Mytilus edulis: one gene and its partner. The protein of the gene in region 1 interacts with the protein of each later gene in a pairwise test. Links are inferred from orthologs where the notes say so. Each region holds a gene or a part of one and is shown on either strand. Other genes may lie near its edges.

Evidence for each region. The genes of interacting proteins can lie anywhere in the genome.
Region 2: the proteins of max-binding protein MNT-like (region 1) and max-like protein X interact in a two-hybrid assay, tested with the Homo sapiens proteins (2 studies listed by BioGRID and IntAct). The link is inferred for Mytilus edulis from reciprocal best matches to the Homo sapiens genes MNT and MLX.

The regions. Positions count from the first base shown.
Region 1 is NC_092349.1:3,784,983-3,795,631, forward strand, and holds the start of max-binding protein MNT-like, read right to left. Parts: upstream 3,953-10,649; 5' UTR 3,738-3,952; coding exon 3,671-3,737; intron 3,423-3,670; coding exon 3,293-3,422; intron 1,642-3,292; coding exon 1,600-1,641; intron 615-1,599; coding exon 503-614; intron 1-502. Other genes in the region: transmembrane protein 248-like, read left to right, coding at 7,037-7,186, 7,741-7,907, 8,453-8,568, 9,776-9,926. UniProt on the Homo sapiens protein: Binds DNA as a heterodimer with MAX and represses transcription. Binds to the canonical E box sequence 5'-CACGTG-3' and, with higher affinity, to 5'-CACGCG-3'.
Region 2 is NC_092347.1:30,992,243-31,003,048, forward strand, and holds the start of max-like protein X, read right to left. Parts: upstream 4,171-10,806; 5' UTR 4,068-4,170; intron 2,906-4,067; 5' UTR 2,873-2,905; coding exon 2,830-2,872; intron 1,914-2,829; exon of another isoform or gene 1,912-1,913; coding exon 1,783-1,911; intron 1-1,782. Other genes in the region: DNA-directed RNA polymerase II subunit GRINL1A-like, read left to right, coding at 5,823-5,928, 9,584-10,147. UniProt on the Homo sapiens protein: Transcription regulator. Forms a sequence-specific DNA-binding protein complex with MAD1, MAD4, MNT, WBSCR14 and MLXIP which recognizes the core sequence 5'-CACGTG-3'. The TCFL4-MAD1, TCFL4-MAD4, TCFL4-WBSCR14 complexes are transcriptional repressors.

The sequences.
Region 1 (10,649 bases):
TTTAAATGAAATATTTTGATAGGGTCTATTTTAAAAATTATTTCAAATCTAAAAACAATTAAAAAAAAAAAAAAATTAATTAGCTTTAAATCTGTACTGATTATCATTGTGTATGTTGTGTTTAGTTATAAAACAAAAGGAATAAGAAAAAAATTATGTAAATTTTTATATTCAGAAGTAAAAAAGAGTATAGGCAGTGGAATAAAACATTCATTTTCCTTAGCTTTGTGACATATGAAGATTTGTTCACCTTTGAAAAGTCATATTTCCCTCAGGCAATGCCCATGTGAAATATGATTTATCTTGGGTGAACAAATCTTTATGTTTCCCTCTGATACGGGAAATAAATATATATTATTTTTCCCTTTGTCTCTGATTTCGGTCTCTCTTGAACATGTTAAATATGATCAAAAATCAAAGTCGCACTTAGACATTACTTTTTCTAAACTATGAAATTATGAGAGAGAGAAAATATGATTGTCTGAATATCTGACGTTTATACCTGGATATAACGAAGGGAGCCTCTCAAAATACCAAGATTGGATGTTCGCTTGTCTTCTAACGTTGGAATCTGCTTCTTTAAGTAATCAAAACATTCTTTCAAGTGAGCTCTCCTGTAAAAGTATAATTAATCAAACAATGTTTTTCTAAACCAGTAATTATTTTAAATTCATAAAATATTTTTTGTTTATAATTGTTAAGTGTTGGTCACATATATACAACAGAAATAAAAATGAAGTCTGTACATGTACACGTTTAATTGCAAATATGGCTTTATGTATAAACTTTGAGGTGGTCTTATCTAACTTATAATTCAGCAGGTTGGCGAGATATTTTTCTTTCAACTTATCTTTACAACTATTGTTGCTGCTTCTCCACCTATAGTTCATCAGCAACTAAGAGTTAAAGCAAATATAACAGAATATATTGTTTCTAGATAGATGTAAGAAGGAAAAAGTGCCAACTCTCCATTCAATTCTGTTCTTTTACTTTTTGTGTTTTTTTCTGTGCATGTTCTAACTTTAAGTGTCATGGATAGATAGCCCATATCTTTGCTTCTCTATTTTGCATTGTGTACACGTTTCATAACATTTAGATGAGGCAAACAAAAGTAAGAGAAAGAAAACAAAATTTCAGATGTTTTCCATTTGTAAATGGGTGCACAGCTCTAGAACAGTAAAAGTGACGTCACCAAAATTCAAACTTTATTGGTGTTTTGCGGTAATTAGCATTGTGTACAAATTTTGAAACATTTACTTGTTTAACTAAAGTTAGCAGTTAGAGAACAGAAACATGTTATGCCCCCTCAGCACCTGCTGTCTTGGGAAGGGTTTGAACAACCAAAATATTTTAAAGTGTGGCCAAAATTATTTCACAGAAGTTACACAGATCATGTAGGTAGAAGATGAAGATCAGTGTCAAATTGATACTAAGAATATATGTAGCAGTTATAAACCAAGAAGAGATTCTGACATCAACCTTCGAATTCTTATGTTTAAAACAGCATTTGGTCAAGAAATTGGAGCAAAAAAATTCAACAGTATCCATGAACATGATGAACTTTGATAATTAAGTGTTTATATAGCATTACAAGTTTACCTGTTTTTCTCCAATTTGTTGTGAACTTCTCTTGTTCCAGCCCTAAAATAATAAAATGATGAGTTAAAATATATATGCAACAGGAGTTTGAAAGGAGTGCTAATTATTAGAAACCAGATATCATAAATGTGTTTTCCATTTGTCAATGCTTTTGTGTGCATTCAACTCATGTTTAAAAATATTTATAATTCTACTAATGACATCATACATTGTATGTCATGTACATGGATGTAACATTTGTATCATGTTTTTCATAACGGATTTAAACAAACATAACATGGTATAGTATGCTCACATGAAGGTTCATTCTAAATTTTAGAAAGCCTTGATTTGCAGTTCCAGAGAAAAATGTGACGAAATTTTACACAATTTTGTACATACAAGTGTTCTTTAATCAATGAATTGGAAAGTTATGATGTCACACAGTATTAAGCATGCTCACATACAAAATGTACAATATGCATTAGTTTAATGAAATTTCAAGAAAAAGTTCCTGGGAAAAGTTTAACCAAAAATACATGGGACAGAAGGACATAACCACTCAGTAATATACAAAAAACAGACAGAAAGTCACAAATAATAGTGTTCATAATTGTTTTAAGATCTTGAAATAAGTTCTTTTTTATTCAGTTGCTGAAATTATTCACAAGTATTGATCATGTTGATGGATAGTCCAAATAATTATGACATCTGGATTTTTGTTTTGTTTCAAAAAGATTTCCCACAATTATCAATGAAACGACACTTCTGGTGAATATAAAATATTAAAAGCGGGACATTTTGAAAGACATGAATTTCCAGATAATGTAAATCGAACGTTCCGGAAATTCGGGTCCATTGAATCTTACCGATTTTAATATTTAATATTCACCGGAAGTGACGTTTCATTGATTATTGTGGGAAATCTTTTTGAAACAAAATACAATATTTGCCGGACTCAAATGGAATCGTATCTTATTTTACCATTTCTTCTGGAAATATTTTACATCAATAAAGCACAAAAAAGGTAGGACTTTGTAACTACGTAAAAATTTTAAACCTGCAAGGCAAATTTTATGTCAAAATTAGGTCTCAAAGTTCCCCCTCAAACTCCAGACGTAAAAAATGGCTTCAGCGTTATGACTTCGTAGGAAAGCGTCCCAGAAAAGAATTTAAATAGCCTTGCCAGACGTCATAATTATTTGGACTAGTTGATGGATGAAGATTTTCGCAAATTGTATAAATCATGCAAAGGATACATTTTTAGAAACCATGAAGCCATTTAATTACAAATGTGCTAAGCCATTATTACTGTTTTTTTTAACAATATTTGTTCATAATTGATTTTTTTAATTAAATTTTGTTTTCAAAGGTGTTGATATAAAAAAGTTCAAGAAAAACAATAATTATTCTTAAATGATAAGCTCTTCTTCAAATTGTTGGAAGAAAAACATCAAAAACTGATTTTTTTTTTTTTTTTTATTTTCTGAAAAAGTTCAAGGATTGGACATGTAGTCTAGAGAATAATTTGTAAAAGTTCTCTCATTTTTCATTTATTATTATTATATGAAAAATTTATTGCACTGAATAAACGTCTATTATTTTGTTTGTAAACAATGACACGCGGCAAATAGCACGTGTGTTCAAGGTCGATCAGATCGACAATATTATTAGTGTGCAAATACACATGTCAAAATATGTCACGTGAACAGACCCTCCGGCTCGCCTTTTTTCTCTTTCATCTCCATCTGCATACTTTCCAGAGTTGCTGGATTCAGGAGAGTCGTCAGAATCATTCCCAACTCGTGATGAATATCCGTGTGGGTCCTCTGATGTACTATCACCTTCAAAAAATAAAAAAAAATCCAAGCGTCGAGTGATCATGCTCATAAATATATGCAAATTAGGTAGCGACCAGGAACCGTCAAAAATTCAAGATGGATATCTTCCTTATAACACAAAAATTGAAGCGTAGATTATCTATTGCATGAATGAATATTGTGCATACTGTAATAAAATTGTAAGTTCAAACGACAAAATGTAGTTTTCGTGTTCATATAAGGCAATTTCTGCAGCCATGTGCTTTGCTTACCACGTGTTTTAGGCTTGTTACGCCATTCTAGATATTCCGCAGCTTCCAACAAAGTTTCCAAACTCATCGCCAGAACCGAAGCCCTCTTCTATAGATGTCATTAATTGTTTATCATCCGAAATACTCATATATCCATGAGGACACACTATGTGTCCTCAAATATTTGATTGAATTCTTACAAATATTAAAAGAACATGGCGGGCGGCGGTACCAAAACACTTGCTGCCGTGCAAAATATTACAACACCACGTGGATTTTGATTGGCATCTGTCATCCTTGTCCAATGAAATTTAAGCATTTTGACGTCATACACAAACTTCAGAATCACATGTTTTGTTTTGGCTGTTCCATTTATTTAGTTCAACAAGTAGATTCACCTATTCTAGACTTATCTATAATTTTTTATTGCCGTATTACTTTTGAAGATATCCCTTTAATGTATTTTTATTGATATTATAGCATTATGTTGAAAATTAATGCCAAGTTTTTACAAACTTCGATGGCATTTCCACGTTTACTTTAGAAGTGGGCGGTTCCCCTTGGTGATTATAGAAGCCATGTGGAATAGAAATCACGTGATATATTACCTTTCAAAATGGGTTCCGGAAGTTGTGACGTTTGATGCTCCAGATTTGACAACATTTTGACAAGTTTTTGCTGCTGAAACTGGCGATAGGATGTCGTGAATTTACAGTTGATCATAAACTGTAATATATTTGGTAAATTTTTAATGAGTTTTTATTTACTCTTGTCTTTGCAGATTATTCTGTCAGTGGAAGAACTACTCATCACATGGAGTCATGCATGCTAAATAATTTAACTTTGAAGCACTATAATCTCTGATTTGGCATGTCAGAACTACGGAACAAGAAGTTAGCAAATAAAAATTCGAAATTTAAGCTGCAAAATATATTGCACACGTACAATTGAAAAGCCTTGATAAACAGGAACATATATATTAACATAGATATACTGTTCCCAGGGTATACTTTCTAAAAGTAAAAAGCTTATACAAATCTTTTTTTACCTCAGGATTTTGTGAATTAATAAAGAAAATTTTTTAAAAATCATGCCTGGCTAAGAACATTTACTGGTAGGAGTGATGCTAATGAAACTTGTACTAATCACAGGCTAGATGTTTGCATATATTTTATTACTATTGACAGATATTCTCAATTCTAGTGCCTGTTGTCAGGTTGTACCATGTCTGATTAAATTATTCATAATTGTTCCTTTGACTCTGTTTTAAAGATGAAATAAATGCGAAAAGTGTGCAATACTTCAGATGATCAGTTCCAATGTTATAGTCTCTTTTACTGTGTCTGATTTTAATCTACTCACTAAAGTAATGTGATAACGTCAGAAATATAAACATGGAGATATAAGAAGATGTGGTAAGAGTGCCAATGAGTTAACTCTCTGATTATCCAAGTCACAATTTATAAAAATAAACCATTACATATTTCACCAACCGTTGGTAAAAAGGGTTCAAACTAGAAGAGTAAAACTATATGGTTATCTTTTTAAATCATTTCACTTGCTTATTTCACCCTTAGGAAAACAAGCAAAATTATTCATGATATTACTTATTAAATCTCCACATTCAAATAAGGATTCCAGATATTGTTTTATGAATTGTATTGAAACCGAACTGTTGATTAGAAGAAATTGACTAATATGACCATGGTTACATTATAAAAAAAAATACAATCAAAAACATTTAAAAAGAACAACTGTGTAAATCAGCATCCTTTAAACATGGTAAAGTAAATTACCTAGTCAAAACACATTTAATGTGTAACCTCCAACATACTCAATATTTATTTCAGCACCCATGGTGCCCAAACATCAGTGAAGCATTAAAAGTTTATGTCATCTTAGGACTTCACCAACCCTTTTATCAAATGTTAAATTTATGCAATCAAACAGCTTCCAGAATGTTAGTTAATTAAAATGTTTATTATAACTGTAGAAATAATACACATAATCCATTTAATGAAGGTGTGAAAATTAAATCACATGATTAAATCAACTGATTAATCTGTTTATTACACAATGTTATATCGAGGAATTTGTTATTCTAAGATTAATTACATATAATTAAATCAATTTGTTAATCTTTTTATTACTACAAGAAATTGTTGCTAATTCAGTATATATAATTGACAAACAAAACACAAGCTATGTACCTTGCAATTTAATTTATAAAAAAAATCCTTAGAAATACACATTTAAAAATTTCTTTCCCCACACATATTTATAGTTTCATTATATATTTTTTTTTGGCAAATTTAGAAAAAGCTAAATACAAGTATAAAGAACAGTTAATATATATGTTCCTGCAGATATGTAGCACTGACAGATATCAAATTTGAAGATCTTATTATTGCCATACTAGAGAGTGACATTATTCACATTAGGCCATGGAAAAGTAATTGATGATTTCCCCTAACCCAACCGGGTCATTTTTTTACCGCCGGGTCATTAAATTTTTCTTTAGAAAAAAATATATAATAATATAATAATAAAAAAAAAATTTTTTTTTTTTTGCAGAGACAACTAAAAGTGTTGGAAATATGCAAGATTATAGTTCCGTTATTATAACAAAACATATAGATATAAAATTACACATGGTTACATAAAAAAAAAAAAAAAAAAAGCCTGCCTTTAAAATTTTCCCATGTTAGGGGAAACCAACAATTAATTTTCCATGGCCTTAAATAGTGATACAAACACAAATGCAGGTAAAACACATTTCCTGCTTGTAAAAATTGGTAGATCATTGTGTTAATTGATAAAAAGTGTCATAATTCAGGGAAACATATAGCCTTTAATTCTTATCAAGTTATATTTCCCCATCAAGCATTTCAAGGATGATAAACAAGAGTATTTGAAGGATATTTAGCTCTTCAGGTGCTGAAGATGTGTATGATTTTAAACTGTAACACAAACAAGATTGACTGTCTTATATTTAAGGTAATTAATGACAACTGGTTACTGGCATATTATCCAAATGTTTAGAATGAAAAGCATGATAAGTACTGGTAGCCAGTATTGTAAATTGTACAAAGGTAAATGCCAGTGGGTAGATTTATTTTCCAAAAGAATTATATTGTTGTGATTATAGGTGGAGTTATTTCCCTTTGTCCGTATGTTGGAGGGAAACTGGTAATTTTCTTATTTGACTTTCGCAAATTAGACATCAATATATGATCCATACTGAATCATTTTGATGAAATGCACATTAACAAGGTGATAAACATTTACGTGAGTGACATCGTAGAGTCTGAAACCAAGATTTTCTTGATTTTTTCACTGAATATTAATTAATTATCCCCATTATTTTCAGGAGATTTGGCTGACAAAATGACATTATGGGAGAATCTGAAAGGATTTACCAGCAGCCGTCCTCCACTGGTGATGTTCATGGTCTGTCTCGGAGCATTTGCCATAGCTTTGATTTCACTGTCTTATTATTTTAAATCTAATGACCTCTACAATCCAGATTTAACTGAGGTAAGTACATTGATCATGAACAAGTGGACAGTTTTTAGGGAGGATCACAAACATGGAGTACAATAAATGATACTACAAATATAAATATATGGTTTCTGTTCAATAGTTGTCTCATCGGCAATAACACTCCATCTCTTCCATTTATTAGTCCCCTACTGACTTTGTTCCAAAAATTTTTAAGGTTTGTTGTAAAGCATAAAAAAAGGACGTTAAATTAATTCTAACATGTCTATGATTTCAATTCAAATGGATTATTTTTTTTGTTGTTGTCATGAAATTTAAAGAATCACTTGAGCATGTTGAGTATAAACTGTTATTGAACCATGAAAATTAAATTATGAATATATTATGGCATTTTAGAAAACAAAAGTACAAGGCAGGGCTTTAAGACAGACAGGACAGGCCTGCCTTTCAATTTAGCTGCATTATAGCTAGAACATGCATATGTTAATCATGCTATTTCAAACAATTATTTTCTTTGAAATATAAAGCTATACTGTACTACATACTTGAGCTGTTAACATTGTTGATTTTGATGATTTATTATTTTTCAGGAATGGCAGGCATTTTTAGAGAACTTTGCTGAAGTTGACTTTTGTATTACTAATAATGATTCTGACATACAGATAGGAGATTTTGAACCTCCATTGAGATTACACCATATATACTCAAAGTTAAGACCAACGTCACATTTCTCTAGACCCACAAATGATGAAGTTGTGTAAGTTAACATGGTTAAGATTTATGCTTATCCTGAGATAAACTGATAAAATGTGAAGCCTGCATTAAAAGTTAGGTCTGTCTGGAAACCCTTAAAATATTTAAAATTTTACTCGTGTTACGTATTTCTTTCTTTGAAACAAAGATGAATTATGCACAATTTTTTTGAAAAGTGCAAATTTAACAAAGACTAATGGGGGAAAAATCAATGGTGGTATTACACCTTATAAAGTCACCCAAGGTTAGATGAAACAAAACAACAGTTAGGAATGCACTGAGCAACTGACAAATTCCTTGACTTATCTTTGTTACAACTCAACCCAGTTCGACACAATGAGTTTGTATTTACTGTATAATCATCAAGTATAAAAAAGAAGATGTGGTATGATTGCCCATGAGACAACACTCCACAACAGACCAAATGACACAGAAGGGTTATTGAAATTACAAGAAATATACATATACACTTAAACATTGTTTTTCATTAATACACTTTATTCAATTTAAGACATTTATATATAGATAATAATTAATTTATGGTTACAGGAACACATCTATATCAATGTGGGTGGAGATAACTCCTACAAGAGAATTAATCCACATGCCAAACAATATAACATTCCTTTACGCATCACTCAATGGTAGTATGGTTGGATTGAGAGGTAAGTTACACAGAGATTGAAAATAACATTGAAAGATTGGTTTGTAACACATGTTTCAACAGGGGCCTCAGTGGCCGAGTGGTCTAAGTAGTTACTACTGTAATCCCTAGCCAGTCAACACTGAGGTTGTGAGTTCAAACACCGTTTGTGCGTGTGCACTCAACTCCAATCTTAATTGACTACGATTTTCAGTTTTCCTATCGAATGTTGGTGGTTTTCTCTGGGCACTCTCTGGCTTCTTCCACCAATAAATACTGGCTGCCACGAAATAGCCTAAATGGGGTGCTTAAAAGTGGTGTTAAAACATCAAAACTCAAAATCAAATCAAGTTTCACCACTCATTCCAAAAGTTTGATAAAATGTGAAATTGAATGTCATTTTCTAACCTTACACATCCATTGAAATGCTTTGGATTTATTTATTTTCATGAGTACCTATTTTAATGGATTGAGGAAAACTTGTGGATATTTGATTTTGTGTTTTAGTCTGTATACAAAGTCTATATATAATTTGTTATTTGTTGAACATTTGTATATTTGATGTTCATTTATTCTTACAAAACCCATGAAATTAAATGAATAGTCCAGCCAATGCATTTTGGTTCTAAGTTACTGTTACTTTTTAGACAAGAAACCATACTAAAACCCATAACACCTTAAAACTGTGTTTATTTACATTCATTTGTAACAATGTAATCATAGTTGCCCTTGTTTCTTTATTTTTTCCTAAATATTTGATGCCATTGCTGTTAGAAATGGTATGGGGAGCAGGACATTAAGTGTAACCCTTTTACGTCCTTATATCTAACTGTTCTTATGTACTTCCAAAAATTGGAATTTGGGTGGCATCACTTTTATAGTTAGTGTAAATTCAGAAATTATTGCGATGTTTTAATTATTGAGAAAAATGTGACATGTGCGACAGGGTCATAATTGCAAAAATTTAAACTCGCATTTTGAATTTTTTTTTTTAAATAACAGTATTTTTCTCAAATGCTCAACATCGCAAAAAAATAAAATCGCATTTTAGTCTCAAATGACAAGACAGCAATATTTAATGCTCACAAAAATTTCTGAATTTACCGTATCTAGTTATTTCCCTTTATAACATAACATGCAAGTGATGGTATCATCTGTGTCTCATGGACACATTCTCCATTTATTGTACAATGAAAATTTTAAATTATTTAAAATATTTTCTATTTCAGATCATAAGCTAGAAGACACAATGAATTTGACGTTATATTTACCTATTGCTTGGAATCAAATCCATTGTTTGAAGACAGGAAGGTGCTCAACTGTTAAAGTACTGGCTTGTGTCAACTTTCAGGCTCCTGCCTATTTCTTCCCAAGTGTCAGGTAATGAAGCAATATAAAACTGTGCTGAAGTACACTTCACCTTAAAACTATGCCTCTCTGCACCTAACCTTAGGTGAAATATGTACCTAGGCATGCTATGGAAAGGTATATGTTCAACAAGTTTGAAAAAGTAAAATAGCAAAAATACAGAACTCCAATAGGGAAAATACAGAACAGAAAGACCTTTATCAAAGACAAAATCAAAAACTATTAACACATCAAACAAATGGAATTCAACTGTCATAGGCATTTCCTTACGTAGAATATAATGTTTTAAACCTGGTTCAAGCTATTCTAAACCTCTGATTTATGACAGTCAAATAGACTTCCATTATTATGTTGACACAAATGTGTGAGCAAAACAAAACAGACATAATAGGTAAAATTGTTAAAAGTGGGGTTCATTGGAAAATGGAAAGTGTGTGCTAAAACTCCCGTTGTAGTCATTTTGTTTACAATCCTACATTAGAACAAATCAAAAGTAAGAACATAATTGAAAATTGGGGAGAACTAGGTAAGTGTTGTTGATAGTCTGTTATAAAGACCTTCAGAAATGTACAATAACTCCCTTTTTTTAGCTCACCCATTCATAGACCTGTATGAGTTACTGGAATCTCTTGTCCACCATTTATTAACAGATACATCTATATACTTGAAATCAAGAATATTTTCAAATTAAATGATTTTTTTTGTGTAGTAGTCAACGTTTTGAGTGGTAATAAG
Region 2 (10,806 bases), on another chromosome or scaffold:
AAAATCGTCATTATTGAACTTGACCTCCATTTTGTCATCAGTAACAACATATTAAAATTTGGGAAGCTTAGGTAGAACAGTTCATGCGTAAATGCACGGACACGACTGGAAACTCCATTTTTCTATCTTTCAAGAACCATAACTTCTGAACGGTAAAAGTCAAAATCGCCATTATTAAACTTGACCTCCATTTTGTCATCAGTAACAACATATTAAAATTTGGGAAGCTTAGGTAGAACAGTTCATGCGTAAATGCACGAAAACGACTGGAAACTCCATTTTTCAATCTTTCAAGAACCATAACTCCTGAACAGTAAAAGTCAAAATCGCCATTATTGAACTTGACCTTCATTTAGTTGTCAGTAACAACATATTAAAATTTTAAAAGCTTTGGTTGAACGGTTCATGAGTTAATGCACGGACAACATTTGATTGCCGCCCGCCCGCCCGCCCGCCCGACCGACCGCCCGCCCGACAGCCCGCCGTACATCCCCAAATCAATAACCGACATTTTTGTCACAAAAATCCGGTTAAAAATCGTAAAAAATCATAATCATTAAAACCGGATCTGTCTGTCGTTCTGTTGTTGTCTTGTATAGTGCTTAGACTTTTTTTATTATTTTTTTTATTATATTTAAATATAGTGACAGTGCAACTATTATAATTATACTAGTACTGAAAAGTCGTCACTAAGGACCATCTTGACCTTGTTTTGGGGTATTAATGATTCTTTTATTGTTGAAGACCCTCCAGTAACTATCAAGATGAAGAACAAGAATAAAAACTTTGACCATTGATCATTGTATTTGTTTCTATGCATTGACTTTGTGTGAGATTATGTTCCGTGCACGTTTACTCCATGTTCCTTTATTTTCAGTTAAAGGGTCTGAACTTAATGCAAGTTTAACCCTTCAATGTAAAAGGTCATATTGAAATGCATTGATGTTTTTATAATTTATATAGATGACTTTATACGAGGAAATTAGAGGTCTTACTTTAATTTAATCCATGTCAGCTATCTTTCTACAAAAAAGAGCCAGTTTTCTTTGATATCAAGTTCAATTCTCCATGCAGAAACGATTTTTTTTTGCTGTGTCCAGAATAGCATCGTATATTCTTAAAATATTTTCTCACACAATTTCTGGACATCGGTGGACATGCACTATTGCAAAACCAAACGCTTACAAATGAAAATCAACACTCAGACTATAGTCATAAAGTAGGACAATAAATGAACAAAAGACAAACCCAAGACACGGAAGTACAAACAAAAGAAAAACCCGGGACACAGAAGTACAAACAATAGACTATCTACTCTGAAAACTAAAAGTAAAATAAAACATGGATCACGAAAACATGCAGGGGCAACAACAGATAGTAAAGAAAACATGCTTTTTGCAAGAGACTTTCAGTGAAAACAATTTGATATGAAGACAATGTTTTGTTTCCGTTTTTTTTGTTTTTTTTTTTGAAATTTCCAACATGAGACATTTGCCTCATTTGCCTCAATGTAGTTACGGCCCTGGTATCTTTTAAAGTAACATTGATTTAGAATAAGTGCACTTGATCATTAAAATTGTAAAATTTGATGTTCCTTTTGTTTATTGTAGTGAATGAATCTAAATCATGTTCTTAGTAAGGGTTTATCTTTTAGTTTAATGACTACTTATAAATCAAAACAAAGAAATTTTATAAATGAGTTACAATTGTCCTAGGCAAACGATGATGGTGACACATCTTTGTGGTATAGAGATAGTATCACTACAGAATTATTTCCCTTACCTGTATTATGTGCAGATGATGCTGAAGACATACATCCCTGTGGTATAGAGCCTGTACTACTTGTCCGTGAGAAAGAAAATCTGTTATTGTGGGTAGGACTTACAGTCTCTACTTTCATCAGATTTTCATCTGTAGAAAAAAAGCATAATACATTTGTATTGGAAATTTCCAGAGAATTTATATTGTTTGGTTACTGACTAATTGATATTATTCCCAAATTTCTTTCTATTCACATTTTTATTGATACATGTTTCAGATAATTGATTTATTTTGTAAAAGACTGTCATGATATGGTGTGAATAACGTTGAAAATAGATTTGAAAAGTGCATTAGCTTCTGGATATTGAAAAAAATAAAATATATATTTTTTGGTTCAATTATTAATCATAAAGTACTATGAAACATAAGAATGCCAAATATTTCAAAAATGGAAAGAAAGCCTTCTTCTTTCTGTTAAATTTACATGTGAATTGGTACAACAAATTTTAATTATGGTATAAATTGTTTGACAGGCATATCATGGTTTACAGTATACAATAATTTCAGTGTTCTCCCAAGGGCCTTAACACACTGTGGAAACCTGGTATTATATTTTCTACCATGGTTCTATCTTTATGATTTTATAGTTGAATGTATAGGGGCCATGGTGCTATATTTTTTTGTAAAACAGTTCAATGTTAATTTCCATGGTGTCCGTGATATTTAAAAATTCTGGGGACCACAGGATGTGAAATAATCATGACAAAAGCAGTTGAATAATTTTCCACATTAAATTATTTAATGTCATATCATGAGTATTGAAATTCTCAAAGATTTCATATATTTAAAAAAAAAAATTCAATGAAACTGAATTTCATCTACCTGTTTGTATTTATAGTTACTAGGGTTTTTTTTTGCACTAATTGAGTACATGTATATATATATATGTATATACAATGTATTAAAATTATAAATCTTTTGAAATTTTCATAATCATTTTGGGATGTAAGTTTGTAAAATAATGAAAAAAATAAAATAATTATGCTTACCCAAGAACAAACAACTCACCTTTTTTGTCAAAGCTAATATCACTATAGCTACTATCAGCCATTTTATTTGCTATTTGCTACAACATGTTAAACATCTAAAAAGTGAAAAACAAAATATTTTTACTAATGGCATATATCTATTGTTACTATAAGCTACACTATGAAAACTAAGCTGCAATAACACAGATCGGGAAAGATCCTCATAAATATGTACATGTACATGTATCAGTTTATAGTAATGAAAATTTACTTTTAATTTAATAGTATACTTGCTTTCATGGCACAACCATTCATAAAAAGTTACATTTTGTCCCAAGACAGCTTGACTGAAATATTTGGATAAAAAAATTACCTACATTGATTTAAAAAACTCATGTTACACATGTATGCTATTGTCTTTAAGTCAAAGCCCTACGGATTGGTGTGGGGTTGAAACAAAATTGTTGCTGTGCATGCCCTGAATGAGGATAGGAATGGCCTTTACCGTCAGGCGTTATAAACTGTTATTTTTATCTAAAACTTCACCTTGATTCGTCAAAATATCTATCATGATTCATCAAAATATCCTTATAGTGATTCATCAGAGGTAATTACTGTTAATGTTATTTTTGGAAAATTTTTGCGTGATTTATTAAAATCAGTTGATTATTTTTATCATCTAAAAGAAAGTGTACATTTATCCACATGCACCAATAATTACCGTTAACATCATTTGGCTAGAATTTTTACCGTTATTTGTCACGAAGGAACCCCCATACACGTATTCGCTATTTGGATATCTGTCCCTCATAAACTTTTGACGTCATACAACAAACACTTTTCCATTGTGGTGTCAGATATTTTCTATTATGCCATCAAAATTTTACGGGAACTTTTGTGATGTCATGTTATGGCGGACAAATAGCAATTAGGTGTATAACGACCCTCCTGAATATTCTATTCCACATATTACTTAAATTATAATTTTTTTTAGTGTCATGGTAATTTAACTATTCATCGATAGATCTGTATAAAAGACAACAGCAATAATATCTAAATATAGATTATGATTAGGTCCAATGTAAATCTGGATCACTGCTGTGGGATGTCTTTTTTTTTGTCATGAGATAAAGTTTACAAACAGTAACTTCAGCAAGGGCAATTATAGCAATAAGTTTCCATTTCAATGTAAAAAAATCTTATTAACTACTACTACGGCGGTGTTAAACGACCTAAACAGCCCAAAGTTTGGTGTAATTTCAATTTGGCTGAGTTTACCTGTTTATTTTCAGTCCGAAATTCCACTTGTTTACTAGTGAGTTCTTCACTGTTGAGGTAAAAACATCGCAATTTGTCAATCATAATCTTTTGTACGTTTATAGTTAGGGTCTCACAAGGTAAAATAAAAAAAATTACAAGCAGAAAATTGACATTGATCATTTTCCAACAAAGTTGTGAAACTTTTTATTTACCTGTTTACCTGTGTAAAATTCAGTCAGTAACATAATTATCGAACAGTTTGTAGTAACAAAAATTAGTCTATAGAATGATCATAAAATCCCTAAATTTACAAATAAAATAACCAAATTAAATCACTTATACTATAGTTATAGAAAAACTTCAAAACGTAAAACAAAATAACCAAAATCACCTTAAAAATAACTATTTAATTGTACCTGCTAAAAGAAAATAAATATATATATATATATACATATTCTGGCATCAGACTCTGACTTCTTTTGAACTGAATTTTGCTGTGTTTGTTTTTTATACACTGGCTTGCGCCCAGAGATAAACAAATTGTAAAAGGGGAGGGTTGAGATTTTAAAGGGAAACTTCGCCAAAAAATCAAAAATTGATATTATGTCCATTCTGTATAAAAATTCTCAAATTCATAGATATTAAAGTTTTATTCTGCTAGATAAGAGATCATCATCGATTTTAAATTTAATTCCCTGTGTGCCGCCATTTTGTCATCTTCTCCGTTCAGAAACCACGATATGTCTATAAACCACAAAGGACCAAAACTATAGTAACCTGATGTAGTTGTAATTGCGTGTCGATATCTTGTAAATCGTACAGTTGTTTTATCTGACTAAATAACTTGATACAGAAAATGTTATTATTTTCTAAATAACCATGGTCTGTCATTTTTAAACTGTTTATATGGGAATTAGTTAAAGAGTCAAAGTTTGAATCATAAATAAGTGTTCAGTGAAAATTGTTTTCGAAAATCTAATTTGTTCATAATTCTTTTATGTGATTTAAATAAATTTGGACCTTCCCTAGCATGGCTAAAGGTATTAACCCAAAAGGTATTTTTAGATGACACGTCCAGGTATTCAAACGATTTCCTGTCAGACTTGCAAGTTCATGCATCGTTTCACTTCTGAGGGTATTGAGGAGTGTACACGGCCGATAACTTTTTCAATTTTGAACTATCAGGTGTATAATATACATCTCTGTCTTGCTTGTCCGAAAGCGATATACTAGTCATTAATAAACTCATACGCTTGTTTATAAATAACATTTCTGGTGTAAAGAATAGTATTTATAAAAATCTACTTACATTTTCCCAAATTTACTCTTGGAAAAAATATGTAAATAGATTTTTATTTTATCAAATCTTTTTTTTATTTGGTATTATTTAGATTTTTATAAAGATAAAATTTTACTAAAAAATCTTCATGATCTTCAATGTTGATTATGTTTCATTTTACATGTACATGTAAAAGTCAGTTTTTGCTGCAATATTTTCCATTGATACATGATTAATTTCAAGAGAAAAGACTATACTTTGCAATATTTATACATATTTGTTACTGTTGTTGGTTCTGAAAAGTAAAGAAAAAAGCTGTTTCAGACATTAATAAAAAAAAAAAATGAATTTTATTACATCCTTCAACTTTCGCTTGTTGAAATACATTGAATTAGAATTGTTCCGTGTGCTTTCTATATAATATTAAAATTTTAAAAATTGACAACTGACAGGACAAAAGTTTTTAAATTTTTGTACATTTGTTGATTTATTAGAAATGGAACACATACCACAGGATTACCTAGAAGGTAATTTGTCTGCAAAATCTGTCACAGAGTTGAAAGAATTGTTGGAAAGGCAGGAAAAGCTGTTGAAGAAGGTGTAAGTTCATGAAGTTTTTGATATATACATTTGTACAGTGATAACCTGCCTACATGCAGAGCTTTTTCTGTTTTATGTTCATGACTGAATTTTATGAGAATTCTGATTGCATTACTAACGAATGTCCATTGTGTGTCCTGGTTCTCTGTGTTACCTGAATCTTGTAATCACAATGATTTTGATATTCCGTAAAATACTCTGTGTTCTGGCATGTTTTATAACATGTCCTTATGGTTACAAACCAGATGAGTCTATGGAGCCTCGATTCACAAGTTCTTTAACAGTGGGGTCCATGCTTTGACTACCAGTATGTTGATAATGATTTTTTACTCTAGATGGTAAAAAATATTGAGTCTCTGGCTTTACAGTCATTTAAATTTAGTCAGAACTCAAGTGAACAAAGTTTATGCTTAGAACATGAAATTCAGCATTTATATTGGTTAATTTCTGATTCTGAGTACAATAATCATACTCTAAAAATATGTATGTAAGGCCTTGTCATAAAATGTTTTAGCATGCTTTATAACATAGGCAATATAGGAAAGGTATACTGACATAAGTAGTCTCTAAACACATTAGCTCCATGGAGCTTTCGTTAGTAGAAGCCATATTAACTATGTGTATCAGTGAGAAAAATGTAAAAGCATAAAAATATAGTATATACCAATACACATAATTAACAGCGCCTGGTGATGTTTGATAGCCTGACCGGTTTCGGTCCATAAAGGACCTTCATCAGAGGCAGAATGGTGGATTAATGTTTGCACCCTATTTATATAGATATGGTAACCGGCGGTTGAGTTAACCAGCGGTTGAGTTAACCGGCGGTTGGGTTAACCGGCGGTTGAGTTGTCCGGCGGTTGAGTTAACCGGCGGTTGAGTTAGGCGGCGGTTGAGTTAACCGGCGGTTGAGTTAACCGGCGGTTGAGTTTACCGGCGGTTGAGTTAACCGGTGAAAAATCCCAGTGGGATTTTCCATGGTTACAATTATCTATATTTAGCCAATGTTCATGTTACAGTAAACTTTTTGACATGTTACGGTAAACATTTTTACACTATATGGTAAACATGTGACCTGATGATATAACCATATTTGGGCTTTAGCATTGGATAAAGGGTGTTTTAATAATTTAAGAAGTACATAGTAATCATTTAGTCTTGATCTTTGGCTTATGATCCACCTAAATATCAAGTCTTGGAATAGTATTTCATGGTAGTTATGTGATCTTAATATTTGGCTTATGATACACCTAAATATCAAGTCTTGAAATAGTACTTCCTAGTAGTCATGCAGTCTTGACCTCAGGCTTATGATACACCTGTATATCAAGTCTTGAAATAGTAATTCATGGTAGTCATGCAGTCTTGATCTTTGGCTTATGAAACACCTAAATATCAAGTCTAATAATAGTATTTCATGGTAGTCATGCAGTCTTGACGTTTTAGCTTGTGATACACCAAAACATCAAGTCAAAACTATTACCCCCCCCCCCCCTAACCAAACAAAATTTGGTTTAGGGGGGGGGGGGGGTTCTTATTGAGAATACTTCATTTAAGCCTTTAGTACTCCTTTCAAGATCAAAGGTAGATGAATATTAATCCTCAGTGTTAAAAAGTTTTCAACACCTTAAGTTTGTAATGTAGGTATTACATATATACATCAATTTCAGGTAATCGCTAGGCTTACGCTTAGAGCTCCTATGCCAGTGAAAAATCAATAGGCAATATAGGAAAGGTATACTGACATAAGTAGTCTCTAAACACATTAGCTCCATGGAGCTTTCGTTAGTAGAAGCCATATTAACTATGTGTATCAGTGAGAAAAATGTAAAAGCATAAAAATATAGTATATACCAATACACATAATTAACAGCGCCTGGTGATGTTTGATAGCCTGACCGGTTTCGGTCCATAAAGGACCTTCATCAGAGGCAGAATGGTGGATTAATGTTTGCACCCTATTTATATAGATATGGTAACCGGCGGTTGAGTTAACCAGCGGTTGAGTTAACCGGCGGTTGGGTTAACCGGCGGTTGAGTTGACAGGCGGTTGAGTTAACCGGTGGTTGAGTTAACCGGCGGTTGAGTTAATGGAGCTAATGTGTTTAGAGACGTCTTATGTCAGTATACCTTTCCTATATTGCCTATTGATTTTTCACTGGCATAGGAGCTCTAAGCGTAAGCCTAGCGATTACCTGAAATTGATGTATATATGTAATACCTACATTACAAACTTAAGGTGTTGAAAACTTTTTAACACTGAGGATTAATATTCATCTACCTTTGATCTTGAAAGGAGTACTAAAGGCTTAAATGAAGCATTCTCAATAAGAACCCCCCCCCCCCTAAACCAAATTTTGTTTGGTTAGGGGGGGGGGGGGTAATAGTTTTGACTTGATGTTTTGGTGTATCACAAGCTAAAACGTCAAGACTGCATGACTACCATGAAATACTATTATTAGACTTGATATTTAGGTGTTTCATAAGCCAAAGATCAAGACTGCATGACTACCATGAATTACTATTTCAAGACTTGATATACAGGTGTATCATAAGCCTGAGGTCAAGACTGCATGACTACTAGGAAGTACTATTTCAAGACTTGATATTTAGGTGTATCATAAGCCAAATATTAAGATCACATAACTACCATGAAATACTATTCCAAGACTTGATATTTAGGTGGATCATAAGCCAAAGATCAAGACTAAATGATTACTATGTACTTCTTAAATTATTAAAACACCCTTTATCCAATGCTGAAGCCCAAATATGGTTATATCATCAGGTCACATGTTTACCATATAGTGTAAAAATGTTTACCGTAACATGTCAAAAAGTTTACTGTAACATGAACATTGGCTAAATATAGATAATTGTAACCATGGAAAATCCCACTGGGATTTTTCACCGGTTAACTCAACCGCCGGTTAACTCAACCGCCGGTTAACTTAACCGCCGGTTAACTCAACCGCCGCCTAACTCAACCGCCGGTTAACTCAACCGCCGGTTAACTCAACCGCCGGTCAACTCAACCGCCAGTTAACCCAACCGCCGGTTAACTCAACCGCTGGTTAACTCAGCCGCCGGTTACCATATCTATATAAATAGGGTGCAAACATTAATCCACCATTCTGCCTCTGATGAAGGTCCTTTATGGACCGAAACCGGTCAGGCTATCAAACATCACCAGGCGCTGTTAATTATGTGTATTGGTATATACTATATTTTCATGCTTTATAACATACTCTGAGTCAGAAATCAACCAATCAAAATACTGGATTTGGTGTTTCGAGCACAAATTTTTTACTCTAAGCACCAAGTAAAGTTTGATGACCGAGGACCTTAGGACTCATCATGTTCACAATAAATTCATATTGATAAACTCTGTGTGCTCAATGAGTAGCTTTGATTATTTAAAATTTAGTTCAATGTCTTTTATATATATATAAATTCCAAAACGGTGGCAGTTTTGTAAATTAATGTAGATGAAATCAGGCAGAAGTGGTATGATTGACTGCCAGACAGTTGTTTACTTTACCATTACAAGTGGAGTTTGTGGGATACATTTAACTGTGAAATTTGCTAAGTTTTTAAAAAATAATTTTTAGTTTAGATAATTTTAGCTAATTAAATATGTGATTGAATATTTCAGAAAATTTCTAAAGACGTTGCCAGATGGAGGGGCAAAGGTGCAATCATTTGTTGAGAAACTACATAGAATGATCAGTGAGAGAATAGAGACAGAATTACAGGAATCAACAAACAGACAAATTATCTCCCCTTCACTAAACAGACAAGTTATCTCCCCTTCAACTAAAGAAAATGTTAAACCCAAAGTGATTACTGAAGTTACAGGCCAAATGATAAAAAAGCCAGTTTCAAAATTCAAAATACAAAATCTTCAACAGTCTAGGGATGTACCAAAACAAAACAAAGACATACAAAAAGATTTTAGTGTAATGGTTCAAAATGAATCAGAATCGGATTTATGTAATGCTGAAGGGAATGTACATATGGAACTTGAAAGAAATATGTCAAATTTTGTACTGGAAAGAGACCAAGTTACAATAGAGGATATAGGAGAAACTTTAGAAAAAATGGAAATAAGTTCAGCAGACACTGATAGACATGAGACACCTCCTGCTGAAGAACACATACTAAGTGTGATAGAAAGAACACATAGAAATAGAAAACGTGATACAATTAAACTAAATAGGTATACACATAAGGCATTCATTGTATTACTGAGTGTGATTTAAAAAAATACATAGAAAATGAGAAACACAAACACTTGAACTTAATAGGTATACACATATTAATTCATAGTATTATTGAGTGTGACAGAAAGAACACATAGAAATAGAAAATGTGATACACTTAAACTAAATAGGTATACTCATAGTCAATCATAGTATTCTATTTCATTCAACAATTACATAGGAAAATTTATATTTATTTTAAGTCCTAAATATGTACCAAATACTAATAGAAAAGTTTTCATTCATTTATGAAAGATGAAATTTTGGGTAGATTCTAGAGAGGCTGCATATAATGAAACACTAAGGGACAAGCTTAAAAGTAAAGATAACTATTTGTCCTACGAAGGTTATATAATATATTGAACAAAAGCATGACAGATGACTGTCATGACAGACTATTTTAGAATAACTTAAATGTACAGGTATTGACTTGCCAATGAACAAGTACATAATGCATAACCATTCAAATGTTAAAAACTTTTGAAAAGCAATCTCACCAAAATGACTTTTTTTTTAAAGTAAATATGAACAACAACCACACATTGTGCAAGAATCACATGATACCTGTAAAACAGGCTATATATATTTCCTAATATTCGATATATCTTTTTTTTTT